2 linked regions of the Coturnix japonica genome follow. The protein of the gene in region 2 binds, or shares a complex with, the protein of the main gene of each other region. Links are inferred from orthologs where the notes say so. Each region holds a gene or a part of one and is shown on either strand. Other genes may lie near its edges. The genes, in order: BMF and RPS6KA3.

Evidence for each region.
Region 1: the proteins of RPS6KA3 (region 2) and BMF are in contact, whole or in part, in a crystal structure (PDB 8R58), measured with the Homo sapiens proteins. The link is inferred for Coturnix japonica from reciprocal best matches to the Homo sapiens genes RPS6KA3 and BMF. Residues at the interface, in NP_004577.1 of Homo sapiens: Trp252, Phe259, Phe268, Leu281, Ala283, Lys284, Leu285, Gly286, Met287, Pro288, Leu299, Arg300, Phe303, Lys304, Arg305, Asn306, Asn309; in NP_001003940.1 of Homo sapiens: Glu8, Leu10, Glu11, Asp12, Asp13, Val14, Phe15, Gln16, Pro17.

The regions. Positions count from the first base shown.
Region 1 is NC_029520.1:27,123,127-27,126,944, reverse strand, and holds part of BMF (bcl-2-modifying factor), read left to right. Parts: intron 1-881; coding exon 882-1,045; intron 1,046-1,820; exon of another isoform or gene 1,821-2,121; intron 2,122-3,818. UniProt on the Homo sapiens protein: May play a role in apoptosis. Isoform 1 seems to be the main initiator.
Region 2 is NC_029516.1:105,990,304-105,994,121, forward strand, and holds part of RPS6KA3 (ribosomal protein S6 kinase alpha-3), read right to left. Parts: intron 3,583-3,818; coding exon 3,518-3,582; intron 3,415-3,517; coding exon 3,312-3,414; intron 2,515-3,311; coding exon 2,390-2,514; intron 510-2,389; coding exon 384-509; intron 1-383. UniProt on the Homo sapiens protein: Serine/threonine-protein kinase that acts downstream of ERK (MAPK1/ERK2 and MAPK3/ERK1) signaling and mediates mitogenic and stress-induced activation of the transcription factors CREB1, ETV1/ER81 and NR4A1/NUR77, regulates translation through RPS6 and EIF4B phosphorylation, and mediates cellular proliferation, survival, and differentiation by modulating mTOR signaling and repressing pro-apoptotic function of BAD and DAPK1.

The sequences.
Region 1 (3,818 bases), on a different chromosome or scaffold from region 2:
TAAAAGACTTAAATTATTTTTGCTTTTTTCCTATTCCCTAAAGAGCGGCAACTTGTATTTTCTTACCCTTGCTTATTGCAGGAATTCAGCACTTGCTGGTTGCTTTTGCTGTACTTGATACGTCTACTTTTTTTTCTTTTTCACTTTATTCTGTCACTTTATTTTGCTGCCAGGCATTAAAATGTTCACCATCCGCCATAGCCTACCATTTACCTGCTTTTTTTTTTTTTTAAAAAAAAAAAACCTCTTGTGCTACTCATCCACATAAGAAAACCTCCTGAAAGTTTGCAATGAAGAGAAGAAAATGCAAAAAATTCCCACCTAATGGGACAGACTTTAGGCTCTTTACTGGAATTAAGCATGTTGAATAAGTAGCACTTTACTGGTAACTGATGGGACATCATTCAGTATTGTGTACTCAGTCCAACCTTAATTCAAGTCAGTCCCACTGAACACCCAAGAAAACAACTGAGAAAAGTCTGAAGGCATAGCACATACAGAAAACCTTAAAGGGGGACAACTTAAGGCAATGATGTTGGAAGAGATGTAAAACTGTCATTAAAGAAAAACGAACACCTCTGCACTCGTCTGAACCATAAACAAGCAGAAAGAACCAAGTTGAAGATCCAGTCATTTGATTAGGGGAAGCAACACAATGTTATGCTTAATTGTTATAAATCTAATTTAAGCTGAGCAAATTAAATCTGTACTGCATGCATATGGTGTATGTGGTCATTGCTTGGGCTTTAGAAACTGGACTTTAAAATGAGTCAAAAAATCAGGATTATGTGCAACTCTTTCTGTATGCCTGAAGTGTAATACTGAATAAAAGAACTACTCTTTGTGCTAGGAGAATGACTCTGCTGGTCTTTGTTTTGTAGGGAATGCTGGTTACCGCTTACATGTCCCTCCAGTTGGCTTTGCTTTGGATCCAAATCTCCAAGAAGAGCCTCAGGAAGGTCAGCGGGAGGCACGTACTGAGGTGCAGATTGCACGGAAATTGCAGTGCATTGCAGACCAGTTCCACCGGCTCCACATACAGCGGGTAGGGTGTTTCCAGAGGGGATGGTGGGGTCTTTCTTATCCAAGAGTGGTGCTCCAGAAGATTGGCTCCAGGCTTCAGCTAAGCAGGCTGTTGCCTAAGGCAGCCACGAGCTGCCAGTAGTGACAAAACAGCATGGTATACCTATGTATTTTGCTCATGCTAGATTGATGGATCACTGTAAAAGACTGGCAGGTAGGGGGAAGAGCATGTATAGAACTGCACTTATTGTCTGGGAGGGTAGCTGCTGTTGTCTGCTATTCTGGCTCTCCTGGTTCATCAGCAACAGGGTCACTGATGCTTTCCCTAGCATTTTACTTTTCTTCTCCGCTCTCCTTACCTCCATCATCACGTCTTCTGTGGTACAGCTGGTTGTCTGTGACTTGTGTCAGTTCCTCATTTTGGAGATGACAACAAGCCTAGAGTCTGTTTTGGCACTCCTTGTTGTCTAGGGATAGATGTCTCAAGTAATAGAGTGCACTATGATCATGCTGGACTTGCTAGCAGCTCCTCTGTGGGACAGTCCTAGCTGGTGTCTCAGATTTGTGACCAACTTCCTCACAACATAATAGAGCTGTAAAATGCCATCAGGTCTGAAAAACAGAATCTTGTTTTACTTTTCTTTAAAAAAAAAGAAAAGAAAAAAGAAAAAAAAGTACTTTGCTGTTTTTTAAAGAAACAAAAGCCATGTCCCTTAAAAATGTAGATCCTTTCTCCATTCTCCCTTCCTTCCCCTACTGAATGGTAAACAAGTAGACATCCCAGCCATGCAGAGATCGGTGGCCAGAGTTCGGCAGCACTTTACTACTTGTATGCAAGTCCAGCAGGGTGTTGCAGTTTGTATCCAACTGTGCATATGAAGAAGTTGACACTCTTGCTGACTTCAGAGAGTGACTTCAAAAGCTTATCTCATTCCAAATGTGTTGGTGTTGTTAACTTGAAGTCTGTTTCAATTCTTTTCAAAGGTAAGTGAGGAGCTCTGCCCTGATCAGAGGATGTGGCTTGTAGGAGGGCAAAGTTTTAGTTGTCTCTGTGATAAGAAAGAGGGAAACAGGACTCTTCTTAAGGGGATGTTAAAGCTGTAACAGGAAGATAGAAAGGTGAATTGGGCTATGAATGTCATTTTGCAAATCACAGAAAACGATGAACAACCTCAAGCTTTTTAGCATGTGTTGCTGGTTGAACGGGGTTTTCCCCAGCGACACCTTTTCATCGCAATAGCTATCTACAGCCAGATTGTCTCAGTAAAAGGAAGGCGAATGTCTCCAGAGTGGAGGAGCCCTGGAGTAAAGTGGTGGAACTGGTTGTAACTTGACCCCTTGCATCTCGGGGACTAAACTCATATCTATGCCTTGGAAACGCATCCAAGAATGCCCACCCAAAGCAGCGCTCTGAAGCTGCCCCTGCTCTGGCTTTTGCTGCCTTTGGCCGCGGGGAGCTGCCAGCCTCCTGCGCTGTACGCAGGGCTGCGGCTCGGGCTGCCCGGCCAGCCCCAGTGCGTGCCGGCCAAGCATGTGGGAGAGTTAGTAAACAAAGGCGTCCGCCTGCACTACCCAATCCTGCAGCCAGCGGAGGAGGAGCTCTGCCGTCTTTGTTTGGACTGGAAGAGCAACAAGTTGTAAAGGGGGGGAGCTGTTCAGCCATTTACGTTTGAAAACAAAACCGAAGAAATCCAGAAACGTAACCGAGGATGGAATAGTTCAGCCAGTGGTTCTCCACAGCCCGACCCTGGGACAGGCTTTGGCATTCGTATCTGCTGGGGGATTCTTTCTCGTTTGTCAGGGGAACTTCTTGCTGAGCCACATCGTAGTGTCTGAGGCACTGTTCCCCATGGAGTGTTTTGTTGACATGTCCAGTCCCCTCCAAGCCCTGCATGGAGGATTTCCTATGGCTTTTGGCATGGCTTCATGCAGCCCCTATGTCCTGTGTGCAGTGACTTTTTGCAGCCTGCCACTGAGGAACTGAACAGTCTGAATCTGGAGAGGCATGGACTGGCTTGACAATGTGTTGTGGGGCAGTCTGGGACATGGAAAACCAGGCTGTCATCTGGCTTGCTGCAAAACTGAACACAGATTTGGATGCCCCATTCCAACCTGTCTCAAAGTGCCAGTCATAATCAGCTTCCCAAAGTGATGTCTAGAATCAGATTTAGAAAACCACAGAGTTAGTCACACCACTGTGGTCTTGTGAAGTCCTGAGAAAGAGCATGTCTGGTTTTCAGCAAGCTGTGCCTCTTCTTGGGGACTATAAAACATCTTATCTGGGAACTTGTGAAAAGAAAAAAACATGCTCTCATTCAGCAGGAGTTAGGAGAGACTTTCAGTGTTGGAGTAATTCATGTGGCCAGCTCAAGAGTTGCCCTCACTTGGCTCTTGAGTTCTGTGAGACACTCCAGCAGTTCAGGTATAGCGCTCATGTTACTCCTGCAGCAGCAGAGCTGTGTTGACACAAAGGCTGTTGGTCGTTCCCTGGCTGTGAGAGGGAACTAAACAGGCAATTGCTGCTGAGGTTGACGTCACTGAGTTGTCATTGGACTCAGCTGCACGCACAATCTAACCCCATCCCACACTGGGAACCCGAGAGAGTCACTGTTATCTCTTCCCTGTGCTCTCTGGCTATGTGGTGTTTGTTTTGTGGTTCTTGGCTATGCAAAAGATTTTTGGGTATGCGCCTCATAAGAAGAAGAAAGTTGGCCACACCTATGCTTGTTTTTGGCATGTACACCATTTCAGGGTTTTATTTCCTAATAATGTATTAAACAGAATACAGTGGTTTA
Region 2 (3,818 bases):
TGGCAATGCTTTTCCTCCAATTTCAAGAACTTACTCTAAATTGCAAGAACAGAAGTAATACCTGTTCTTGGCTAGAACGAGGATAGTTACAAGTATATAACTACCAAACTGAGTTTGGAGACTTTCCAGTAGAGAAATTGAGTGCAAGGATATGGGAAAACATTCTGAATTCATCTTTGCATTCTATGTGCAAGTAATGAATTGTTCAACAATTCAAGAAAATAATTGTTTCACACCATGGGATTAGTTTTTTTTTCCCCCTCTACTTTACAAGTCTGCTAATATACATCTTTGTTTAGTAACCATCCAATTCTACAGTGTTATGTAGAAAGACAATAAAAACAGACTTACGGCCCTTTTTTGTTTTATGACCAAGTAGTTACCTTTACAGCATATTCCATGTTTGAAGCTTTATGAACACATCTCTTGCAGATAGAGTAAGATCCAACTCCAATATCTTCTTTTACTTCATATCCATCAGTAAACTGGATGCTGTTCCTGTGCAACTGCTACCAAAATAACATTATCAATTGATCAATATTCTAAATGAAAAACTGGTATTTATATTAACAGTAAGTTTTTGAATTCCTAGTGATTTGCTTCAAATTTTAAACTGATAGCTATATTAGATCAAAGAGTTTTCAATAGACATTACCTTCTGTTTGATGCTAGTATGAGATAAATTCTATACATTATAAATGATGCTCACTGCACTTTCCAAACTGAAAACGTGACGTTCTTCTGCTTATGGATCTATTTATTTATAGATAGAATCTCAGACAAAAGAAGATCAGAGGGCTACAGTTAGCGATAAAAAAAAAGCATCATTATTTCTGTCATCTAAATTGATGAATGTTTTCTTTACATGTGAAATGTCAGCTACAAATTTCAGGTGGTATTCAGTATGATTAGACTAACTGGAAATTTCATGGTACAACAATTAAAAATCCTGTCAGAAATTAAAAGCGTGAAGGAGAAGTGTTCCAATTTTGTAAGGGAAGGAAATGGCTTTCTGGTATAAGGAATTTGTGCAAAGGATGCAAAGCATTTGCAGGAAACCATCTGGGTATCCTGCTGCAGAGAAAAGAGGAAATATGAGTGAGGAAGTGGTTGAGGGGCACAGAGGAAAAGCACTAGAGAGAGACTTTTACAAGAGAAGGAAGCCATATACAAAGAAAAAGAACATAATCCACAAAAGTATGTGGGAAAGAAGGAGCACAGAGAAGCTTTGGTAACTGTTAGCAATACTTCTGGACCAGAAGTCATTCTGACAAGCATACCAAATCAAACAGCTTCTTAGAATAAAAGGGGATCTACGAACCCTTTAAATTCAACATTTCATTACAAGTGAAAAGGGCAATGTGGACAAACATATTAGAACTACTCCAGACAGAGTAAAAAGAATGAAGAAATAAAAGCTACTCAGCTACAAAACATTCCTGCAGTGAAAATATAAGAAAAATCTGATCACACAGCATGTCATTTAGTTCCTACTACACATCAATGAGAAGTTTCCACCACAGCTCAGGCCACTAGTTAGTTTTCCTCAGTAATTTTTTTTTTTTTTCCTGTAGATGCATCTGCTTACATCCTGCTGACTGCAAACTGCCCAGTGCATGCCTTTAGAATGACCACAGTCTTACAAGGAGGCAAAGCATGGCTCTCCCCTATTCAAGCATGAAGCCCCCTTCCTTATTTCACACAAGACTGCACCCAGCCAAAGCTTTGCTGTCCAAAAATAAGCAGCACCGGAAGTAAGAGAATGTATAAAAATAGCAGCTGCTTTAGACTACTAAAATTAACAACCACACAATTACTAACGTAGGAGACACTACAGGAGTCATTCTAAAACCAGCAGGAAGCCAAAGCTTATGCATACTGCAACACTGACCTATAAGATAAACAAACAACCACAAAATGTCACAGCTTATTACATTTAATTTAAACTGGTTTGGGAGAGGTTGAATATATTCCTAAAATAAATAGCAGTCCACAACACCCAGGCAATTGTATTCTAGTGCTTCCTACATGTACTATAGGAATCGATATTTTGGGCTGTAAAACAAAATGATGAAGCTGCCTATATTCCACTTCATCATACAATCAAGGCTTGATATTAAAGAGTAGCTATAGTTTGGAGGATAGAATGCTTTCCTTTATGGGTTGAAGCCTGTTCATACTCACGGATGCTCAGAAATGAAAAAGGTCCTACACTTTCAAAGACCTTGCTTGAATAAAGTAATCTGATCCTTACATTTATTGTATAAAGCTGATAATGACACTGTCACAGTGCCTCATTTTACAACAAAGGAAACATCCCTTCCACCAAGAGAGGGTAACACTACATAACTGACCCTTTTTCCCCCTCCTCTGATGTTGATGTACTCACCTGGACAATTGAATGCACTCCAACTGTCTGCATTGACTGGCTTTCATCATCTGATGCAATAGCTACAAAACTAAATCCGCGAAAAAGTTGATGTGCATTAGCACTAGGTGGAATACCAGGCGAATCTGAAAAAAATATCATCTACTTACAAAGCATAATTTTTTAAAATGAAGAGATGCAGTTAGGACTATACTGTAGAGCAAAACAACTTTATTCTATGAAGTACGTAAACTGCAATTTGTATGAAGTATTTTTCAGTACTGAAATACAAGTACTGAATTATTTCCACATCCTAATTATAGCCACCATTGATAACCAAATACTTCAAAGATTGTATTACTGCTAGATAATGTTTTATAATACAAAACCAGTACTGTGCAGAAAATATTTCCCTACAGCAGTGTATTTATATTTATGGAGAAAGAATTCATAAATTTGGTAGCTCATTAAATTTATAGAGACAAGAATTTCTATCATATTTTGAATGGGTCTTTGTCAAGCTATGCAGAATCAGACTGCTCTCAAACAGCAACTTTATCCCCCAAAATCTGAAGTAAATTTCAACATATACATAGTATGTAAAGACACTACCACAAATTAAATGACACCATAGGGTATCACTTTCAAGAGATGGACATGAATCATCTTTAAATTAACAGTGACTATTTGGGATTTAGATGGGAAAATTGAATTTATCCGTATGCTTTGTTGGTGAGGATTACTTCAATTTTTATATAGGACAACTCAATACTCCCTCCATGTTATATTAGCACTCAAGACTACAAAAATCCTTATGAAATATGGAATATTTCTCTTTGAGTATTTGTTTAGCTCTGCAAAGCTTGCAAGAACAAGACACAGTCAACAGGAAAACTATTTCTAATTTTTAAATACATAAATTGTTGAATTCTTCTCTTTTTACCTTTTGGAGTTTTTGCTGTGAATTCAGGATCAAAATAAAACGTATCTTCAGGTCTGCCAGTTGCAGGTTTAAAAGGGGGATGAATTTCTCTTCTGTACAATTTCTAAAGAGAAAGGTAAGTCAGAGTGAATAGAAAAGTTTCATGACACCTACAAATACTTCTTAATTAAGAAGTTTATTATTATTATTTTTAATTAGGTACTCACATTCCAATCTATTTTGGAAAAGAAGGGATGTCTCTTAATTTCTTCTACTCCATCTGGACCAGCTCCTTTGTAAAGGAAGAATTACTTTCTTGGTCAAAAGGGATTACTAGGAAATTATATTTCTTATTACTACTAATTTTCTTTTTTTAGAAATGCAAATTAAAAAAAAGATATTTTGCTGTTCATCAGAAAAGCAAACAGGCAAGCTATGCTTTTCCTTCACAGCTTGTTTTAAACAAGAATCTGCATATGCATTTAGTCAATATAATTACTATGTTATCAATTTTATGATTCAATTTAA